Nothobranchius furzeri: one gene and its partner. Each later gene encodes a partner of the first gene's protein in a complex. Links are inferred from orthologs where the notes say so. Each region holds a gene or a part of one and is shown in the gene's direction. Other genes may lie near its edges.

Evidence for each region. The genes of interacting proteins can lie anywhere in the genome.
Region 2: the proteins of slc3a2a (region 1) and slc7a8a are in contact, whole or in part, in a cryo-EM structure (PDB 7CMI), measured with the Homo sapiens proteins. The link is inferred for Nothobranchius furzeri from reciprocal best matches to the Homo sapiens genes SLC3A2 and SLC7A8. Residues at the interface, in NP_002385.3 of Homo sapiens: Thr162, Gly163, Leu164, Ser165, Lys166, Glu167, Leu170, Ala173, Gly174, Trp178, Arg182, Leu185, Phe189, Trp190, Trp193, Met196, Leu197, Gly199, Ala200, Ile203, Ile204, Ala207, Arg209, Cys210, Arg211, Leu213, Lys532, Arg534, Asp558, Gln559; in NP_036376.2 of Homo sapiens: Leu147, Leu150, Phe151, Pro152, Thr153, Cys154, Phe155, Pro157, Ser159, Gly160, Leu163, Leu164, Ala166, Ile167, Leu170, Leu171, Trp174, Gln294, Ser352, Met356, Val359, Glu481, Thr484, Leu485, Gln488, Lys489, Met490, Cys491, Val492, Val493.

What each region holds. Positions count from the first base shown.
Region 1 is NC_091754.1:59,489,917-59,500,404, forward strand, and holds slc3a2a (solute carrier family 3 member 2a), read left to right. Parts: upstream 1-3,791; 5' UTR 3,792-3,911; intron 3,912-4,412; 5' UTR 4,413-4,577; intron 4,578-5,409; 5' UTR 5,410-5,422; coding exon 5,423-5,616; intron 5,617-5,700; coding exon 5,701-5,885; intron 5,886-6,609; coding exon 6,610-6,783; intron 6,784-6,871; coding exon 6,872-6,963; intron 6,964-8,021; coding exon 8,022-8,158; intron 8,159-8,492; coding exon 8,493-8,602; intron 8,603-8,674; coding exon 8,675-8,877; intron 8,878-8,941; coding exon 8,942-9,019; intron 9,020-9,098; coding exon 9,099-9,315; intron 9,316-9,399; coding exon 9,400-9,539; 3' UTR 9,540-9,913; downstream 9,914-10,488. UniProt on the Homo sapiens protein: Acts as a chaperone that facilitates biogenesis and trafficking of functional transporters heterodimers to the plasma membrane.
Region 2 is NC_091742.1:59,610,287-59,621,087, reverse strand, and holds the start of slc7a8a (solute carrier family 7 member 8a), read left to right. Parts: upstream 1-5,893; 5' UTR 5,894-6,114; coding exon 6,115-6,244; intron 6,245-10,801. UniProt on the Homo sapiens protein: Associates with SLC3A2 to form a functional heterodimeric complex that translocates small and large neutral amino acids with broad specificity and a stoichiometry of 1:1.

The sequences.
Region 1 (10,488 bases):
AGAACATTTAAACTTCTTGCTTCCTCATTTCGAACATGTTGACGTGGATGTTTTTCCTCTTACGGAGCACTTTTTTGTGGTTTTTTTTTTTTGACCCTGGAGCGTAGAGCTGCAGCTTAACCCCCTCCTGCCTCACAGAAAACAGGAAGGTCTGGTCAGCGGCAGTGTGGCCCTCCGCTCCTCCTGTGAGCTACAAGCTAGCATCCTGGATCTCTTCTCCTAAAATCTGAAAAACATCAGATATGTCAATAAACATATTTACTTTTCTCTGTTACCAATGCCTAAAACCCAAAACATTTGCAGGTTTTAAAAGCTTCCTGGATGTTTTCCTTGTACGTTTATTCTACGTGAAAACCGGCTGTAACTGAGACACCATCCCTGGAGTCCATTTCAGTATTATTTCTGCTTCACCCTCAGCTCATAAACAAGTTTACCCATCCCCTCTCCGTCCTCACTCACCCCATGCCCTTTCCCCTCATTTCTCCGGCTCCTCCCATCACCTAAATTTTAGTCGACACAGACAATCTTCTTTTCATTCTTCCCATGTTCAACCAAACATCCTGGAGCTCAACACTGATGCCTGGAAACGGAGTAACGTGAAGGTCAGCTGAGGAAAAACACGGTCTCCTTTACACCGTTTCACCACCGTTCACTCCCTGCAGATCACCAGCACACTGTGTTCACATCAGTGAGCAGCTCAGCCGAACTCTGCCTGCACGTGATCAACACACACACACACAGAGAGAGAGAGAGGACCAGACGGTGGGACTAGAATCTACAGATCAGATTTATGGAACCATGTCTAAATAAAGACAAACAGCTGCTAAATACTAAACCACACCTTTTATTCCTGGAAGCAAACGGTTTTCATTAGAGGGCACGTGCTCAGCTTCAAGTCCAAACGTTTCTGACGCTCAGCCAGAGTTCGCTCGCCCTCCAGGGTTGCTAAAGGTTGCTGTGTAGCAAGACTTATTTATGCCTTGTTGTGGAAAAACTAGTCGTCTCCTCATAGATTTCTTCTGCTTTGCTATTTTTGGCAGCCAAATGTTTCGGATCAGCGAGCACATTTCAAAATCAGACAAAGATAACCCGAGCAAATACAAAATGTTGTTTAGAAATACTTCATTTTTATAGAAACAGGAGCTGTTCCAGCCAACCTGGTGTACAAGTAATCGCCCCGAAACCCAAATACAAAGTTCACTTGTTATTTTAATGCATTTGCAGTGGTCTCTGGTATAAATTAATGCCTTGCCAGTGGGCCTCCGTGGGAAAACAAGCTCTGGCGCTCTTAGTCTGATTAGATGGGAGCATAAAAAAGTAGGACTTAGAGTGCTTCTTGCTTTTATTTCCTGATATGCTAATGATTGGCTAATGACAACGTAACTCTTCCACAGCCTCCAATGTTTTATATCCACTAATAACACAAGCCTGAAAGAGTTCTGCCATGTTGCTGATGCTAACGGTTAGCTTCTACTAGCCAAAATGTGCTCTGCTCTTTCTTGGAGGCTTAATAGGGCTTAATCAACAATTCCCTTCCTGTCAGGAACCAAGATGGCCGAGTCCATGAAAGCTAATTTTCAGTGTGACCATGGACGTAGTTTTGACTTTAGAAGTGGGGGGACGCGACCGGCAGGACCAGGGGGGTCTTTACAGTAAGTATACAGCAAATATGTGTAAAACTACAGGCTCTTTTATGCAACGTCAGGTATGCAGAACTGTCAAGTACACAGGTGGCAGGAACGTCCAATGACACGTTAGCAAGTATCAGCAGAGCCAATAGATGAGCTTATGGACAGTTCTAATGGGAAACAGGCTTTAACACAAGTGGTTGTTTTCCACTTAGTCATAGTGCTCAACCAGTGTATTTAATTAAGCATAATGTTGTTTTTGGCTGGTAAAAAGTGCAGAGGACGTAAATTTACCTGGAAAAAAGTTGACTTCCCCCCCCCCCCCCCAACTACATCCATGAGTGTGACATAAATCTGTTCGGTTTTTTTAATCCAAGCGTTTCCTCGTCTATTTTTATCAACGGCTAATGCAGGAAATACACTATTTTCATGTTTAGCTCAAACTCAAACTCAGAGTGATGATTTTATTTGTAAAATAGTGAAAAATATAAAATAAAAAAATGTGTCTCAGTGAACTTGCTCTTTAAGAACCGGTTGTAACTCCCAGAAGATATGTGTGCTTATTAAAGCGGTAATGAATTATCTCCCGGTTTTCTTTACAAAATAGTGATAATTCAGCGAGTGGTCCTAAAGAAGCCCCAGACCATCACACTACCACCACCATGTCTGAGCGTAGCTATGATGCTTTAGTGTTAGCTTTACTGCAGATGGAATGGGACACACACCTTCCAAATGGTTCCACGTTTGTTGCATCAGAACACAAAAACACTTTCCCAAAAGCTGCTGCTTAGCAAGAGTCCGAATCGTCTTTGTTGTTGCTTTTGGTCCTCAGAGGTTTTGACCTTGGAACTCTCCCATGGAGGCCATTTTGAACTCCACTAAGAACAACATCCGTGTATAAAAGTGACATGTATGTGATAACAACAGTCTCGTGACCCTACTAATCCCAGCAAAAGATCATTTGATTGTTAAGTTGATTTGAAGAAACAGAACAGGCGCCCACATGCAGAGATCCAGGCACGTGAAGCAGAGCGGTGGAGCTTGTTCCTGCAATCATCCGCAGCAGCAGGAAGGATGTTTACCTCTTTAGGGAGTAAAAAGATCCAGAGGCGACACATTAAATGAGCTGGATAAATAATAAAAACAGTAAAGATGTTTACGAGTCAGAGGTAGTTTCATCATCTAAAATACTTCCATTTAACTCATTAGACAACAACCCGCAATCCCGTCGGTCTGTTTCAGAATCAGAATCAGAAGGTTTTGTTGCCATAGGTGTGCCAAGTCACAACATTAGGAAATTGCTGCAGTATTTTGGTGCAGAAGGTAAGATAGAAAAAAATTAATTGAGAGATAAGCAAATATAAGAACTAATAAAACACTCATGATAAAATTATTCATGTAAAAAGTGGCAAGAATTAGAGAAGCAGCTATCTACCCCGTGTAGGTACTTATCCGAGTGTTTGCTGAATGTTTCAAGCACAGCATCGGGTCACGTGACTGGGACCAATCGACTTGAGTGGGCTGCCCTAGGATTTTCATTCAAAAGTCCAACTGCAGAGGGGAAGAAACAGTTTTTGTGGCGAGAGGTTCTGGTCCGAATGGATCTGAGCCTTCTGCCAGATGGGAGCGAGTCGAAGAGACTGTCCAGGGTGACACGAGTCAGCTATTATCCGACCTGCACGCCTCAGTGTCCTAGAGGTGTACAGGTCCTGTATGGAGGGGAGTTTGCAGCTTACTGCAACTTACAAAACTTGCAAGTCGGTTATTTTCCCAAATGTTAAAACTTTAGATTAAAAATATGACTTCACAGGAAAATTATTAATGCAAAAAAAGTTACTATTAGGTCCATGCAACCCTGGTTCTGTAGAGGATCCAAGCAAAGTTGCTGCTTTTTGTGAAAAGTCTGTTTTTACTGTAACTCAGTGAAGGTCAACAACAGCTGGGAATTTCTTCAAAGCACAGGCAGCACCAGGAAGGCGTTGTTTTTAGCTCAAATCACAGCTATTCCCAGGAATTTAGCACTCTTTCTGTTGCCTGCAAAAAGTCAACTTCAGACAAAGTATTTAAGAACAACATGCTCTTTAATGCCTTACATAGAAGAACGCACTGTTTCTTTTTTATTTTCTGGAAATCAAAAATAACTGCAATGGACTGGCTCTCTGTCCAGGGTGTACCCCGCCTGAATGCCCATTGACCGCTGGAGATAGGCACCAGCCCCCCCGCGACCCTGCGTGGACACAGCGGGTTCAGACAATGGATGGATGGATGGAAATCAAAAATAAGGTCAGAACAGGAAAAAATACATGTTCTCATGAGTTTGTGAGCATCACATTATTCTACGAAAGGTTATTATCTGTTATGCAAATACAGAGAAAGTAAATTGAGAGAGATATAATGTGATCACAAATAAATTAAATCAATGAAAGAAAGAGTGAAAATCTCTACAGTTCAAAGGTTTAAAGGTCTTTTGTGTTCTAGAACAATCACTAAGCACATTAGCTGTTTGTATTCCAGTCAAAACACGTCTAATCAAAGCGGTTTCACGTTTAGTTAAACATCGTCCTGGTAGACAAGCATACTGTGTTGTTTTGCTATGCTGCAATGGTGAATCAGAGAATTGTACATTTTGTACTCGACCTAAACACTTCCAAACTGAAAACGGCGTCAGGATAAAAAAATAAAATTCCGTAGGTTTTAGCAACTCGAGTACATGAATCCACCAAAAAGGAGGGTTTGAGATTTAAATTAGAACAATTCTTCATGTTTGTTCTTTTATTTTTCTAGGAAGATATCAAAAAGGACGCATCTGATTGGCCAGTTCCTGTTGTGGGTGGGGTTTATGCGTAGCTACAAATACACTGCTCTCCTCTATCACGGTACACACCCAGAGCCAAAACGATTCAAACACGTACAGTAAAACACAGACGGATCCTACACGGACTTCTACAGGTAATGTATACATTATTACGATCGTATTATTAGCTAGTAGCTTAGGTAAATGGGTTGAATGGGGAAAACGGAGTGTCATTTGGCACGTGCGCTTGCGCCTTACGCAGTTACTGCTGCCGGTTTTAACAAAACACTGGCAGACTGGTGTCACTTGTTTAGCACACGATATTTTCTTGTCTTTAACTGTGATGTATAACAAGAACAGTCGTTTTCTAATAATTATTTCCTCATTTACACGATGATTAACGAGCGTGTCAAAACGCCGGCTCACTTCCGGTATGACAAATTAAAACAACCTAACTTTCTTTTTACAAATTTCAGTGCGAATTTTCTTTAGTTTAAATACAGATTCTGTTTCATATTAATATTGAATGAAATTATTAACAAAATATCTTAAATTTAAAACTGTGTTAATGGTTTTTAAAATATTCGAACTGTTATTGTGAAGGTCTTGCGGCGTTTCCGCCGGCTGTGTAAGCCGGTAGAGACGTTTCATCATCTGCTAAACCCGCTCAACGGGAACACCTTGTGGACTGATTATCGCTTTCCATGCTGTCTCAGCTTTAACCAGCTCCGTATAAACTCTAACAATAACGTGTAAACGGCAGTTATGTGTTTTATTTCACAATTTAGCTCATCAGTCGTTAACGAGGTCAAATACGGTCTGTTGCTTGCAGCAACGCCTGTCTAGCCTCTGTTCTAGGATCAAACCACCAGATAATCCGGATGAAAATTATGTAGACACCTGTAGCTTTTTAATCCACCTTTCTGCCAGGTATGTTCTCACCCAGTAACAAAACCATATTCTCAGTGTCCCTCCTTTGTCCCCCAGATCAGATTAAATCATGAGTAAGGACACAGAGATCGACATGGAGGAGGTGAAGCTCAATGAGGTGGACCCTGAGAAGCAGCCCATGACCGGAGACGGTCCACCGGTGAGTGAGAAGAACGGCAGCGTGAAGCTGAAGGTCCCTGAGGATGAGGTCACATTCACCGGCCTATCCAAGGATGAGCTGATGAAGGTCGCGGGCACTCCAGGGTAACCGCTCACAACCATCACACAACCAAAGTGTGTTTGTGTGTGTGTGTGTGCCCATCTAAACACTTCCCGTTGTTGGTGCAGGTGGGTGCGAACCCGCTGGGTGCTGCTGGTCCTGTTCTGGTTGGGCTGGGTCGGCATGCTGGCTGGAGCGATTGTAATCATTGTGCAGGCCCCTCGCTGCAAACCCATCCCGGAGATGAACTGGTGGAACGAAGGACCTCTGTATCAGATCCCTGACCTTGATGCCTTTTCTGAAGGAATGGAAGGTAAAGTGCGTTTGGTTTTAGAGTAAACGACCCAGTCTTCTGTTTTTGTGTCAGGATTCAGAGGAAGTGTGGGCTGATTCATTCGAGGGGAGTCTTGTGACTGTGTGTGGAGTTGCCTCCGCTCAGTATCGCCTGTATCAGCCAGCTTGATACTAAACTGCTGACTTGGCTGGCACTGAATGACTTAACGGCCAAAGGGACACGAAAGAAGAGCGAGTCGTCTCTTTAGACCTCCTAATCAGATCCGAGTTGAAGTTGAGCAACCTTGTACTTTAGTACGCGTGCTTCCTTAACACCTTATTACTTTATAATACAGGTGTATTATCTTTAATGAGGGGACGGTAGGAAGGACGGAATGTTCTGAGCTCGGAGTGAATTAAGGGGGAACGCTTGTTCCCAGCAGGCTTTGGGAAGGACTCCAAAACCCACACGTGACCTGATTGTTCCGGCATAAAAAGGACCTCCTTGTGCTCCAGTGGCCAGCAGAGGGTGTGGATGCTCGTTCACATCACACACTCCTGCTCTAAGTCAATACTGGTCTCTAAAACAAAGAAAGCTGCTCCGTTCACCCCTAATGTCCACTCGTAGCCTTTTAGACCCTGCTGCTTCTCACACGTCAGCTCTAGGTCTCATTGTTGTTTGTTTGTTTGTTGTTTTGCCCGATGTGAAATTCTTACTGGCGTGGAACATCCATCGACGTGTTATTTGATTTGTCCTGCATTAGGCCTGGAAGCTAAGTTGGACCACCTGACCCAGATGAAGGTTAAAGGGCTGGTTCTGGGTCCGTTCCACACCGTCCAGGCTGATGAGCCCAACACGCTGGAGCTGACACAGATCAACCCCACCCAGGGGACGGAGAAAGCCTTGGTGTCTGTGCTGGCCAAGGCCCACAAGAAGGGTGGGTTGTTTTCCTTTAAAGGCCCAGCTTTGGTGAAATTCTACCCCCCCCCCCCCCAGACGTTTACTGTTGGTTTATTCTGTTAAAGGTATTTCTGTGGTGCTTGACCTGACGCCCAACTACCGGGGATCCGCCCCCTGGTTCACCGACAATAACAACGATATCGTGGACAAAGTCAAGGTGAGACACCGTTGTGAGTAGCGATGGGTACCGAATTCGTTACTTTTTAAGGTATCGACCGAATTCCACAGTACCGACTGAGCACCGATTCACGTCATTTGAAACGGTGCCTCGTTTCGGTACACGTCCTTCATAACGAGAACTTGCCTAGACAGCTGCGCATGCGCAAGAGCGTTATGTCGTCGGTCGCTGCGAGCCAGTTGTAAACAGAGCAGCATGGTAGAAAGAACACACGCTAACGCTTGGGTCCACTTCACTAAATGTGATGGGTAACTGGGTGATGATGAAACCAGCGACAACGATCTAAGTGAGACATCCTCATGTTAATCTGCTCCGGTAGGTAAATAAAATGTTTAAGATAACGTTAGCTTGATATGTTAGCTTCCGTTCCGCTAATGGTGCGTTCGCTTTCTCCTCGGAACTCCGAATTTCCGACTAGAAGAACATGAACGCGCTCTAAAGTTTGGCTTCACTTTACTAAATGCGACGGGTGATTGGGTGAAGATGAAACCAGCGACAACGATCTAAGTGTGAGGCATCATCGTTTTAATCTGCTCCAGCAGCTAAATAAACAGTTTAAGATAACGTTAGCTTGATATGTTAGCTTCCATTGCCACCATTGTTATCAGCTAATGGTGCGTTCGCTTTCTCCTCGGAAATTCTAACTTCCCAGTAGGAAAAATCAAATGAAAAAGGACGGCAAAAGGAATGAAGATACACAGTAAATTTAGTTCACAGTAAAGATGTTTGCTTCAGTTTAATTATCAGCTTATAAAACTACAAGGACGATGTTAAAATACAAACTTGTATGTTATTTATCGTGATATTTATCAAATATGGTTATATATTGAGAAAAATATAATTATAAAAGAGAATTAAAATATTAAACAATCAAAAGTATCTAAAATTGGTACCGTTAAGTACCGGTATCGATTCCTAGGTACCGGGAATTAGTACCGGATCGAATCAAATGTCAAAGGTACCCATCCCTAGGTGTGATGGATAACTGGTATAACCTAGTGGAGCTGCTGTGGCTGAAATGCTCGTATCCTCTTCAGGCTGCAGCGGAGTACTGGATGAATTTGGGCGTCGATGGCATCAAGGTGTCAGGTTTCTCTCTCGCCTCAAACTTCACCGACTGGCCCAAACTGCAGGCCGCCGTCCAAGGGAACCGCACCGAGGACACGAAGAAAAGGTGAGCGCCTCTTCCTCCTCTTAGCCGCGTGAGCAGTCGGTGCAGAAAATCCGGTTTGTGTCGTTTAGAAGAATGTTTGGAGGCTGAGGCCAGCACGCTGTTGGAAGTTTGGGTTGGCTCGTTTTTAGGCAGCTCGGTCTGAGAATCGCTGGAATAACAGCTGACCGGGATCAAAGGCATTCCACTGGCTGAGGTTAAACGGTTGGTCAGCCAGAAAAAACAACAGGCCAGTCATGGTTTTCCACCGTCAGGGTGCTGCGACACCTAGTGGAGAAGCGTTTAAAAGTTTCTCTCTCTCTTTGTAAATAACCAACGGAGCATTTCCTTGTCTCAGAGCGCTGATGGGTGTGGTCCAAGGTCTTTCAGCCACACAGGTGTCTCAGCTGGTCAACTCCACTGGTGCGGACCTCATCCTTCCTGACCTCCTCACCAGCACCGGCGACAGTAAGTTTTCTGTTGGTCAACGCCCTTTTCGTCTTGAACGTGAATTCTGACTCGCTTCCTGCGGTCGTCCAGATGTGCAGCGCATCAGAGACGTGGACGCTCTTCACTCCCAGCAGAGAAGTGTGGCGTGGGGCGTCGGTGCCAGCAAACTGGAGCGTCTGTCTAAACTGGCGACGTCTCCGAGCCTGATCCGTCTGTACCAGCTGCTGCTGTTCACGTTACCCGGAACGCCGGTGTTCACCTACGGAGATGAAATCGGCCTTCAGGCGGGAGATGTAAGCCAGGAACATTTAACAGTCGTGCAGCTAGTCCACCATATGACCTTCATTTGTCCTCCAGGGCTCAGAAAGTCCTAAAATGATTTGGGACTTGGATAAAGAACCCTCCAAAGAAGCTCCCGTCGACGAAGCAGCAGAGGTAAGACTAGATTAGACGACCACTGATCTGCTCTCAGGTATCCGCAGCATGTTAAAGTCTCCTCCCCTCACGTGAACAGGCCAATCGGACGGAGCACATAGCTGTAAGGACGTGGTTTAAATCCCTCAGTGACCTCCGAGGCAAAGAGCGTTCCCTTCTCCACGGAGACTACTACCCTCTCTCCTCCTCCGCCTCATCCCTCGCGTTCCTCCGTGTCTGGGACCAGAGTGAAAGATACATCACAGCCTTTAATTTGGGAACGCAGCCCTTAGAACTAAAGCTTAGCCTGTCTTCAGGTGAGTCACGGCTCTGCGCTAACACCTGGCTAACCTGCTGTAGCCATCTTCTTTTTATTAATCCGGCTGATTTTGTGTCTGCAGATGAAGTGAAGCTACCGGACGTAGCTAAAGTGAAACTGACCACTGATAAAGAGTTGGAGGAAGACTCTTTAGTGAGCCTGGCCTCGCTCACATTAGGACCAGAGCAGGCGGTGCTCCTGCAGTTTCCTTATTCGGGCTGAAGATGGCGCCAGATGAAGGAACGGGCCCCGCAGCTCAGATCAGTTGTCATGAAAAAGCTCAGTAGCAGTGTCGATCCATAGGAACAAGGCCACATTTTATTTTTTTACGGCGCTGTAACTGTGTTGGGAAAGCAGGAGGGGAAAACTGTTCAGAAACCTTTTAAAGTGTGACGTGTTTTCCTGTTTTTAAGGTGGCGTTGTCCGACTCGCTGTTCAGACGTGTGACACATTCCTCTGTTCGTAGGGCATTCCTCTAGCAGCTTTCATTATTGTTATTTAAAAGTTTCCATGGACGGGTTTCCTCCCACAAATGTACGTTTTACTCTGGGCTCGAGGAGAACAGCGCTGAACACCAATAAACTGGTCTGGACTGACTTCTGTGAGCTCTCTCTCTTTTTAAACAAAGTTACAAGCGTTGTGTTTGTGTCTGGGCTGGAGATGATCTCAGATGAGATGTTTACTGTTGTTTCGGTGCGTACGGGTGTGTGAAAGTATGTCACAGATGTTGAGAGGAAACGCTGATCTGTGCTATCACCACCCAGTGGTTTCAGAGGCACACCAGGCTACATAAAGAGTAGCTTTTCTGTTATAGCCCATTTATAAATGCTTGTCGAGTTCATAACTTTAATTTTTGGGTTTAACGTGTTCGTAAGAAGTAGACTTTTAAACGTGTTTAAAGGAGAATTAAGCAGGTCTCATTTTAAAGTGTTTCCAAGCCAAATTCACCTGATTGTATCTGAAATAACAAAAGCTGTCGGTGGCTGAAGCTCAAAGCCTGTAGAGAGGTCGAGTGCCTTCATTAACTTCATTTTTCTAGACAACTATTGGTCGGTTAGTTACTTTTGTGAATGAATTAACTTCAGAATGTAAGTAAATGTTTAAGTTGTGCATTAAAAGGACTAAAGTTAGCTTTAGCTTTCAGTTAACCACCAAAAAGCGCGAGAAGCTC
Region 2 (10,801 bases), on another chromosome or scaffold:
TGAAGCTCAACTGTGATGTGGCTCACTTCTAATTCCTAAAAATGGTGCTTTGTTTCCTCACAAGGCATTCATTCCTACAAGAGACCACTGTAAATGTATTTATTAAATGAGTGCTCCACACCTGTAAAACCAGCAAATCAATCTAACAGTGAGATTCGCTTTTTGCAGTGCATGTACGCATTTGGATCAATACTAGACGTCACTTTGTCCCAAAGCAAACATGCACATCTTTACCTTTACATTATCTGTATATAAAAGTACTTTAAAACATTTTTCTTGGCAAGTTTTGTTTTGGTTAGGACAAAAAGAAAGTTCCAGCAGCAATTAGGAAGCGTGTTCCTCTGTGAGATGTGTTTTGGCTTTCAGCAAGATCCAAAGTCACCTTCCTGAGCTCATTTTACCCTCACCATCTTGCTTTTTTTCTTCAGCCTGGCACCACAGTCACCACCTTTGTGTTTGCAGGTTATTGTTCCAGTTTTCCAGCCACTGAGCAGCAAACAACCTGAAGCAGCAGGATTAATAATTAACAGCTCTATCAGGAGAATATCAGCTCCTTACACCATTCGATCCGTCACCTGGTCAGGACAGATGTGTGTGCATTTGTAAATGGTAAATGGCCTCTATTTGATGTAGCGCCTTCTAGAGTCCTGGAACCCCTCAAGGCACTTTACAACAAAATCAGTCATTCACCCATTCACACACACATTCACACGCTGGTGGAGATGAGCTACAATGTAGCTACAGCTGCCCTGGGGCGCACTGACAGAGGCGAGGCTACCGAGCACTGCCGCCACCAGTCCCTCTGACCACCACCAGCAAGCAAGGGGGGTAAAGTGTCTTGCCCAAGGACACAACGACAGTGACAAACTGAGTGGACTCAAGCCTTCAACCTTCCGATTATTACCTGTGCCACCATTTGTATGGATGCATTCTTTAGCGCACAGATGTTATTGATCTAAAAATGATTTCTGCAGGAAATAATGGAATGAGCAAAGAGATCTGGAGATCAAATAAAAGCAAGCAGAGATTTTTTTCAAAAGTAACCTCGTTTGGATAACATGGAATCGTCACTCTGACTCAAATGATGTTTTTACAACAACCGTTTGAATTATTTTTATGCTGTGCGAGGTGTCCTTGTTGGTGTAAGAGTGCAGGTATTGTTTGTGTTACACACACACAAACACACACACACACACGCGCGCGCACACACACACACACACACACACACTTAACAAAAATATAAACGCAACACCTTTGTTTCTGCTACAATTTTTCATGAGATGGACTTAAAGATAGATAGTGGAGAAATGAACATTCAGTGCACAAGCATCAGATCTGGTTGACATTCCTGCTGTCAGCATGCCAATTGCACACTCCCTCAAGTTATCTGTGGCATTTTGCTGTGAGACAGAACTGCAAATTCCAGGGAGGCCTTTTATTGTGGGCAGTATAAGGTACACCTGTGCACTACTCATGATGTCAGATCAACATCTTGATGTAGCACACCTGTGAGGTAGGATGGCTTATCTCAGCAAAGCACAGGTGCTCACTATCACACATTTAGACTGATTTGTGAACAATGTTTGAGAGAAATGGTAATATTGTGTATCTGGAATGAATTTTAGATCTTTAAGTCCATCTCATGAAAAATCGGAGCAGAAACAAAGGTGTTGTGTTTATATTTTTGTTAAGTGTGTATGTATATATTTATTTTTGACATCTTCTTAGAGGAATTCCTCTTCAGCACGACGCATGACCTTGGATGAACAGGCTAACGGCTAGTTTGAGCAGGTTGCAAGCGGCCATTGTTCTTACAAGGTAGTCTGAAAGGTTTAATTTTAGCAACTCTAAATGAAACATAGGCCAATAGGGTAACAGACCCCGCTCATTATTTGGCAAAAACCTGGTCTCTTTTAGGTATTTTTTAATGATTTATAAAGTATTAACAGTTTAACGAATAAGGTATCTATACACTATTTATTCACTTTTTATAAGGGAAACTACCATAGTGTCTGTCAGCTCCTCTTGCCTCTGCTGTCTTTAGCACGTTTCCTCACATTATCTTTTTGCTCAAATGCTCCAGTGAGCTAATCAAAGGTACACACACCCAACTCAACAGGACAAATTCATTGATAGGAGGACCTTTGACTCTACAGACAGGCTTCTGACTTCACAATGCATACGCAGGACACATGATTAGTAAAAACGGGGATCTTTTCAGCTGCTTATTGATGAGAGCAAAGCTTAAAAGGATTAAAAACATTTCTTAAACATTTCTTACAAATATATTTAATGCTTAGTGAAATTCTAACAAACTGAAGGAAATAAAGGACTTTATTTTACTAAGATGATCAGTGGGGAATAATAAACATTTTATCTAACTGCATCACTTCTTCACCTAATCAGCACAAATGGTGAAAGCCACTTCCTAAACCCATTACCAACACATTTTACCTGATTGAGATGATACAATTAGAAGAAAACAAGCAATCATAAAAGAAAAGAGGCAGTTTGGTTTTAATCAGTGAGCGAAGATGATCAAGAACACATTCTGCAACCATCAGTACACCCGTGAGAACAAAGAGCATCGTGGTGTTTGATCACGTCAAAAGAAAACTGCTTTTGCATTTTTTTCTAAGAAAAATCAAATCTTTGAACAAGATTGGGACTTGATGTGACTTTTTAAGTACTTTGTGAGTGTTGGAGACCCTTTTATCAACATGAGCATCCTCCTCCAAAAGCTCTCAGTAATTCTGATGAGGATAATTTAATTAAACGTAATAGTCCTGAATGTCTTCCACGGAGGGCAACATTTCTCAAAACATCAAACCATGTTCAATTTGAGTGTTTTTTTTTTAAATTTTGGACTACATATGTTCTTACTTAAACATTAAATTACAAAAGAGTTATACCAATACGTCTCTGTCCCTCTGCACACTCAGAATGTCCCACTTAGTCTCTCAACCTCGCCTGTTCTCTAGTTATGGTGTTTGTAAGCATCATATTACAACTAAACACACACTGTACAAAATGATATGTTGAAATTATTTTTACCAGGTGATGTCAGCTGGTTCCACCACACCTAGATGCTTAAATATAAATACTTATATTAGTATTTGTTGGTGCGTCGAAAGTAAAAGTAGGTTTAGTGGAACCAGCCGACATTCAACATTTCATTTGTTAGAGTGTAGAGGATTCATTTGTTTTTGAACATGTAGCAGCAAGGTAAGAACTCTTAATCACCCGAGGTGAACACCTGCTAAATGAGGTGTGTATTATTAACGTTCAGGTAGGAAAATGTACCACACTTGTTCTAATTTCTACATTTCCATTCCTGGGTCAGTGGTTCCCAAAGCTGAGCCACCAGCCCACTGTGGGTCACCAAGAACTGCACAGAGGGTCTTGAGATGATTTCTAGAAATCGAAATTAAACTGAAAACCAATTTCTGTGTTTATAGCGTAGTCGCTACAAAAGCGTATCAAGTTTGTCATAACTGGATATAAGTGAATAGGAGCTGAAGTAGTTTGGTGAATTCATTTAGGTTTTTCTGCATGTTTGTGTTGTCAAATCCCAGATGTCTGGGGTTGTATGGTTTGACAAATGCTATTTTGTGGGTCTGAAAAGTACGGGAACCACTGATCTAGGTTGTTTTAACTGTATATGTAGATACTGGTAACCAGTCATGCCCTAAAAACAAATGTTCATGGGGCCAATGGAAATTTTGGGGTGGCACCCCTGTGGTCAGGGGCACAACTACCTACTTTTGGAGGGGGGGCCAGACACATAATAGGCGAACCTGCAAAACCACGTGCCTCAATTTAAGGAACAAAGCAGAATCCAGCTGCTGTTATGTATTTGTTGTTGGTATTTATAGAAACTTAATATATCTGCAGGGCTTTGGGCCCGGGGCAGTTTTAAACCTCGGACCGACCCACTTTAGATCATGACCTGTGATTGATAATATCATGTGTTCTTTACGCCAATCAGAAAATTCTGTTCATAAAAGCAGAGCGGCACTTAATCTCTGACGTGCTTCTCTGTTATTAGTCATGTCATGTGCAGATGCAAAAACGGACAAAAACGCAGCTGTTATTAAACGCAGGAAATGCAGACTACAAATATTTTTGTGTCACATGCACTGCATACCTACTTTTTGCGCCACTGCCAGTGGTAACTCTGAGTTTAGCCTAGCTGTGCATTGTACTTTCAGTCATTGTCCATCTATTTTCTTTTCCCGCTTATCCACGCAGGGTTGCAAGGGGCTGGTGCCTATCTCCAGCAATCTCTTGGAAAGCAGGCGGGGTACACCCTGGACAGGCCAGTCCATCGCAGGGCGACACAGAGACACACAGGACAAACAATCAAGCACACACACCTAAGGACAATTTTAGAGAAACCAATCAACCTGACAGTCATGTTTTTGGATTGTGGGAGGAAGATGGTGTACCCAGATAGAACCCACAGGGAGAACATGCAAAATCCATTCAGAAAGACCCCAGGCCAGGATTTGAATCTCCTTTCTGCAAGGCAACAGCTCCTACCACTGCACCAGTGTGCCGCCCGTTATTTCAGTTATTGTTTCAGATGTAATTGTTTTAGAATAAACATATCCACTAAATCTACAGGGATTTGTGCTTTTGGTGGTTTCCCTGGGGGACGATTGGGGCACTAACTCTTTACCTGGGGTGGGCATGGCCCCCTCTGGCCACATCTTAGGAGCACCACTGCTGGTGACACAGTGATGCTTTTTTAAAGACTCCAATAAAGACAGTGGCATCTGTGCGTGTGCTGTGTGTCAGCAAAATACCACTGATATGTTTCCTGATGACTCGGCATGAGTGAGTGAGGGTGCCACTTCCTGTCTCACTCGCCCAAACGCATCAGGAGTTTTCCCTAAATGTAAAAGGAAATACTGCAGGAACCATATTCTGTGTGGCAAAAGCAGCTGGTGTACAGTCAGGATATGTGAGCAGTCGCTCAGGCGGATGTGACGTTTTCTGTGAAATCCCAGGAGATGCTATTAGAGTAAAAGGGTTTCTTAGTCTTGCCAGAGCCCAGCCTCTGTACTGGTGTCCTTGAACAAAAACAACCAATCCCTCCCAACAATAGCCGTGTCTCTATTTTATTAGAAAAAAAATCTGATAAATATATTAAAGAGTTAGCATCGTAAACGTGTTTTCCTGCACTGAAATCAAATACTATTTGACCACAATGAGGAAATAGCTTTATTCTTTTACAGGATAAGTGGATGATAAACCATCCTCGAGGTAAAGTTGGACCAAAACAACTTGAAGAGAACCCTGTGAGGAGCCTGCACCCTCTGCAATGCTCTGCAGCATGAATCAAAGTTGTGACGTCTGTCTGCAAAGAGCTAAATTTAGATTCAGGCTTCTGCTCCCTCTTGAATAATAAATGGAAGTCTGCACATGCTGTGACGACATATAGAGACGGGGAGCTGGAAGAAGCGTGTTTTCTGTGGTTTGAAGGCTGAGTGCAGGGGAGGAACAGCTGATGTTTGATGGGAGGAAACTTAAAGAAGAAGGGAGGGTCCTGCAGCTGAAGGAGGAAAAGCAAAGGCAGACATGGGGCGGTGCTATGATCACATGAAGGACAGAGTATATGTACCCAGCCATAGGTTGTCTTATTAGAGGACTTGATGTCTCTGTAGTCCACAGCTGCTCCACGCTTTCTGGTTGTGGATAAAGGAGATGCCTGGAAACCTGTGAGCGCTTTTTATTTCTTTTTTGTTTGTTTCCTTGTTGCACCTGAAGCCCAAATAAAAGCTCTTGTCCCAGGATTTAACTGGAATATGCGCCTTTTTTGCTCTAAGAGACAATCTGCTGCAGACACAAAGATAGAAAGAACCACATCCTGCAGCGCTGTTTCGCCTCTTTCAGTTAATGTTTTCATCGTATTATTATAATAAATAGTAACGAGTCGTTCTCAGAAGTTGTTGCAGCAGCAATCATCAGCTAAGCACTTTTTAGCGGACATTGCCCTGTTGCACCTTTCTGTTTTTGCCCATAACCTTTTGGCGCACGAGCTGCGAGGAGCGCACGGCCAGCACCGGGTGCTGCGAGGAACAAACGCAACTTTTAAACAGTTTCATCAAAATGACGGACGGACCGAGACAACGGAGCAGCACGACGGGGTCTGCCAAGGATGCTGCCGGTGAGAAGGAGTCTGGAGGAGTCGCGCTCAAGAAGGAGATCGGACTTGTGAGCGCGTGCGGGATTATAGTTGGTGAGTTAAGCTTTCTCTTTTTATGATGTTTGTTTTATTTGTTTATTTCTTTGGCTCTTCAGATTTTATCTGGAGCGAAATTCTGAAATCGCAGCTGGGCTCTTATGTTAGAATTTGAACTAAAACGTTTTATTGTAACTAAATTAAGAGCTATATGCAGGTTCTAATATATAAATAAGATGAATACAACAATACGAAAAAGGCATAAAATAAATAATAGTCCAATGCAAGGCACTGCAGTGTGTAGAAATGAGCTGGACCTGTGTGAGGTTAGCTCTAAAATGTTGATGGTTTGTCTGTAAGTCAGGAGCTTCTTTTCCTGGATGTAACCGAACCTTTCTTCTTATCAGCACATAACCATGACCAAATAAGAAGCTGACTCCTCTGTGCGCAGAGGATTTTCTTCTCAAGTGGCTCACATGTCTGGAGATAAATGGCAGAGAGGGCCGATACCGATTTCCGATTTTTGCACAAGCGATGACCTGTTGGTACTGATTTTCTGAAATGTTTCCAATAAATAAAATAAAAACACTAATCTTTTAAAATTCTGATGCACTTGATGCTAGTAAAACAAAATGTTGGAGTTGCTGCATTCACACAACCCTAAAAAAATCTGATGTTTGGGTGGTTCGATTGGCCAATCAAATATTAGGCCAAGCAGGCAGCTTGTTGACCAATTCGGCCCACCCGCTGATACTTTTGGATGATTTGCTCTAAAACGTGTGATGGTTTCTCTTTTAGCTGCTGATTTTGATTAAAAGCACACCTTTCAAATGTGTTCATCTATCAGGAGTGAGCTCACATCGTGCCACTCAGAAGCTATCATAAACAAAAGTTAGATCTAGTCGTGTCTCAGCGTTAGATTGATTGGCATTGTTTAAATGTGATACCCTTACCATTTCAACACTTATTCATGATCAATCAACCTCACGGTCGATGTTTAAAGGTGAAGACACTCAGATTGAGCCGCTTGGTGGAACAAAAACTAGATTACAAACAAATAAAGATGACTTAATCAGACTGATCAATAGAAACTCAGAGGTGAAGCATGCTGCGTGTTGTCCAGATGGAGAGGGATTCGGTCCTCTGGTTGACCTCTGATGAACAGAGATGAGGTGACTCATTCATGTGTTTCCAAGGCAACGGGGAGAACAGCGGTGAGAAAAGGTGAAAAGGAGAGAGGCAGAGTGAGATGATGTGTGAAGCCGGTTCCTGGTTGTTTGTCTCACAAGTGGATCGTTCCCACGTGCCACGGCCTGCAGCACTGGGATAATGTGAATTTCAGTTGGTGGCATGTCGCTTTCAGGACGTTGTGCTCCTTCTAAGCACGTTCATTATTATGATTAAATGCTTTTTAGAAGCTGTTTTGGTAAAATATGTCAGAGTTTTTCAGATTATCTTTGACAAATTTATGATGAACTTGTGCGCGGTGAAAACAGGACAGGTCTTCTTCTGGCGACTTTGGCATGAAGGTCATTTTTGTGCAGCTGGAGCTCCACAACAGTCATGTTAGACTTGCCACTTTTCTTTTTACTTTAATGAACGATAATTGAGTTCTACAGAAATATGGATTTATAATTTAGGCATCGGATTTAATATCTTGTTGATTTGCGAGCACGTTGTGGAGTCCGAAAAAAAGCGGAATACAAAGAGTTGAATTATTTTTCATTGTATGACTTAAAGCATAAAGTTATATTAATTCATCAAAAACAGTTGGCAACACTGATAATATGACAAAGTTGTTATTGCTAGCTCACTGATGCTATTTCTAGTTTCAAATAACTCTATAGTTCTATTTTAAAAGCTAATAAATTTCAGATGTAGGTGATGTAAATGTTTTTTACAGTAAAGTTTTTCAGATTGGAGTTAAGATGACACCAGCCCACTTGTTTTGTTTTGGCCCCGCCCCGGCTAGCTAGCTGTTAGCTCATTCAGAATCATTCTTTATTTCACCAAACGAAGGCTGTTTAAAGAGATACTTATGACAGGTAAAATATTGATTGTTCATCACATTTCCACATCAAAAGATTAAAGACCATAAAAGATAAAAGAAGCTCTACTTATTGTGAGTTAAAGTAAGTTTACTGACAATGTTCTGCATTTCATCTGAGGTCTTTGCCAAAGCCCACTTAAAACGGTTTTCACTATAGCTCCACCCTCTCTGTCTTATCAGCTATTTAGATAATCAGATCATTTCACTCTCCCTTCATAGTTAATAAGAAACAAAGACTTTTACAGTCGACCAGAGTCCTCATCAGCGCCTCCTCGGCGGAGCTCTTGTCTCGTCCTTGATCAGGTAACTCATTCATGCTTGTTCCGATCACACTGTCACGTGTGAGACAGTGAGCTCAGGTGACCCGGCTGATCCTTTTGGCTGTGAACATGCCCCCACTACGTTTCCATGAAAACAGTCAAGAACACGATGACTTCAAAGGCTTTTATGGCCTGTTGTACAGTGCACAATTTCGTCACCCACACATAACTCCAGGAACGCGGAGAGCTGTGATTTTGGATTAGAAGTAAACTTTTGGCTACCATAAGCAGGTCTCCGCCCTGATAATGCTGTTTTATTAGCTTGCCGTACTTAGTTTGAGCTGAGATTAATTCTTGTTTGGGAATGGAGCTACTTTTTAAACAAAATCTAAGTTAAAAATAGAATTTCATTAAACAAAAAGCTGTTTTTTAGACAGTTTTTTTATGCTAATCCTTTATGATTGTTTAGATTTACAGCCTCGGTGCATAAACTCAACTTGTAATAAAAATTTATGAGTTTTTTAGCTTAACAAGTTGTATCTGTATATAGATGTCTACTTTTGTGCTTATATATAAAATTTTAACATGCAAACCAGCAACAAATGTCAGGAAGGATGCTCCTGAATACAATCTCATAATAAATTCACATCAGTCAGTTGGTTTGTTCTTGTCTTCATGTGTTCTAATCTGATAAAGTGGCATGAATTATTAATTGAAAAACTCTAATCTTGATCATTTTATCAGTCGTGCACAAACATTTGCACAAAAAATTCAGATTCAGAAACTGTAGGCCTGTTGATGAAGTTTAAGAGGAACAGAAACGTTCTCTCTTATGAAATTCACTTCAGTGATAAAAAGAGGATATTAAAAAATGCTGAGCAAAAACAAACCTTCTGAGATTTGAACGAAGAGGAAAATTTAAAAGACTCTGATTGTTCATAAATCCAACTTTTGTGACTTGTGTTTCTGTCTCTTTTTTTTTAAATCCACTGTTTCTAAAACCTGATGCAGCTTGCTGGTGATCTTTCGCTGTGATCCAGAAACAAGCTGCAGTTTGGCAACATTTTCAGCGAAAGAGATTTTTAAAAAAGCATCCCAGAGACAAGTGGAAAGAACAGGAAACGTGAAAAATTCCCTAATAGTCAGCAGTCTTCTCATAGCATGAATGCACAATGTGCACGTTTCATTACCTCTAAATAAAATCTCAGTTGGCACTCGAATTTAAAAAAAAATCTGTTGCTTTTTAACATTAGTAAACTTTGCCAAAGTTTGTGTTGCAGAATCACATCAGGAAAAACAAAAACCTCATTTAACATGTTGGTGCTATTTTTTCTACAAAGGTCAAAGGTCATGCACTGTAGCCCCTTACTGCTATAAAGATGTCAGGAATCAAGGGAGGGGAGATTTTTTTTCTTTACTTTCACACCTTTCACCTACAGCTAGAGGTACATGTAGTTTGCAGGGAATTCATTTGTTATTTCAGATTTGTTATTTAAAATATTTTCAATAACTACGATACTGGGGTACATACAAACGGACAAGATGTATTCACCTACACTGTGCTGCATTTATGGATCTAGACGTCTGTGTACTCTGGATGTTGGACTGAGCGTCCCACCATGGCGTGTTACCTGCAGATAAACATCAAAGAACAATTAAAAGGAGACATGGCAGTTTTGGCTTGCTTTTAGCACCCCCTAGTGTCCCTTTAGTAGAACCAAAAGCAAAAATGTTCTCTTTGCTGTGAGTTTGTCTTTTTAACACCTTACTCTAACTGCGTAAATGTCTCCCCAGCCTTCATTAGTCTCTAGAGGAGTGATTCATTGTTAAATCAAACAAATTAGCTGTGTTCATGATCTAAAACACGCAGGAAGCAGACTGCAGCACCAGGTATGTCAGCTTCATTTTTTCTCAAGTCCGACAGGGACTGGACCGGCACTCTGAAGTTGCAAGTGTGGTATTCTGGCCACAGAGGGCGATCAGTGTCTTAGTGACATTTCATTAACCCTGTAAAGGATCATATATATATATATATATATATTTATATATATATATATATATATATATATATATATATATATATATATATATATATATATATATATATATATATATATGTCGATGTTTAGCACTTACAAGATCAAGTAAATTCTTTAAAAATATGAAAAATGTGCATAGTATCCTTTAATATTAGAACATGCTGCAGCACGGTAAGATCTTTCTGAATCAAATGAAATGACTTTCAGCTCATCATTCTCTGTGTCAGGAATCTGTTTTATTTACAAAAATGAGGTGGGACTTAAG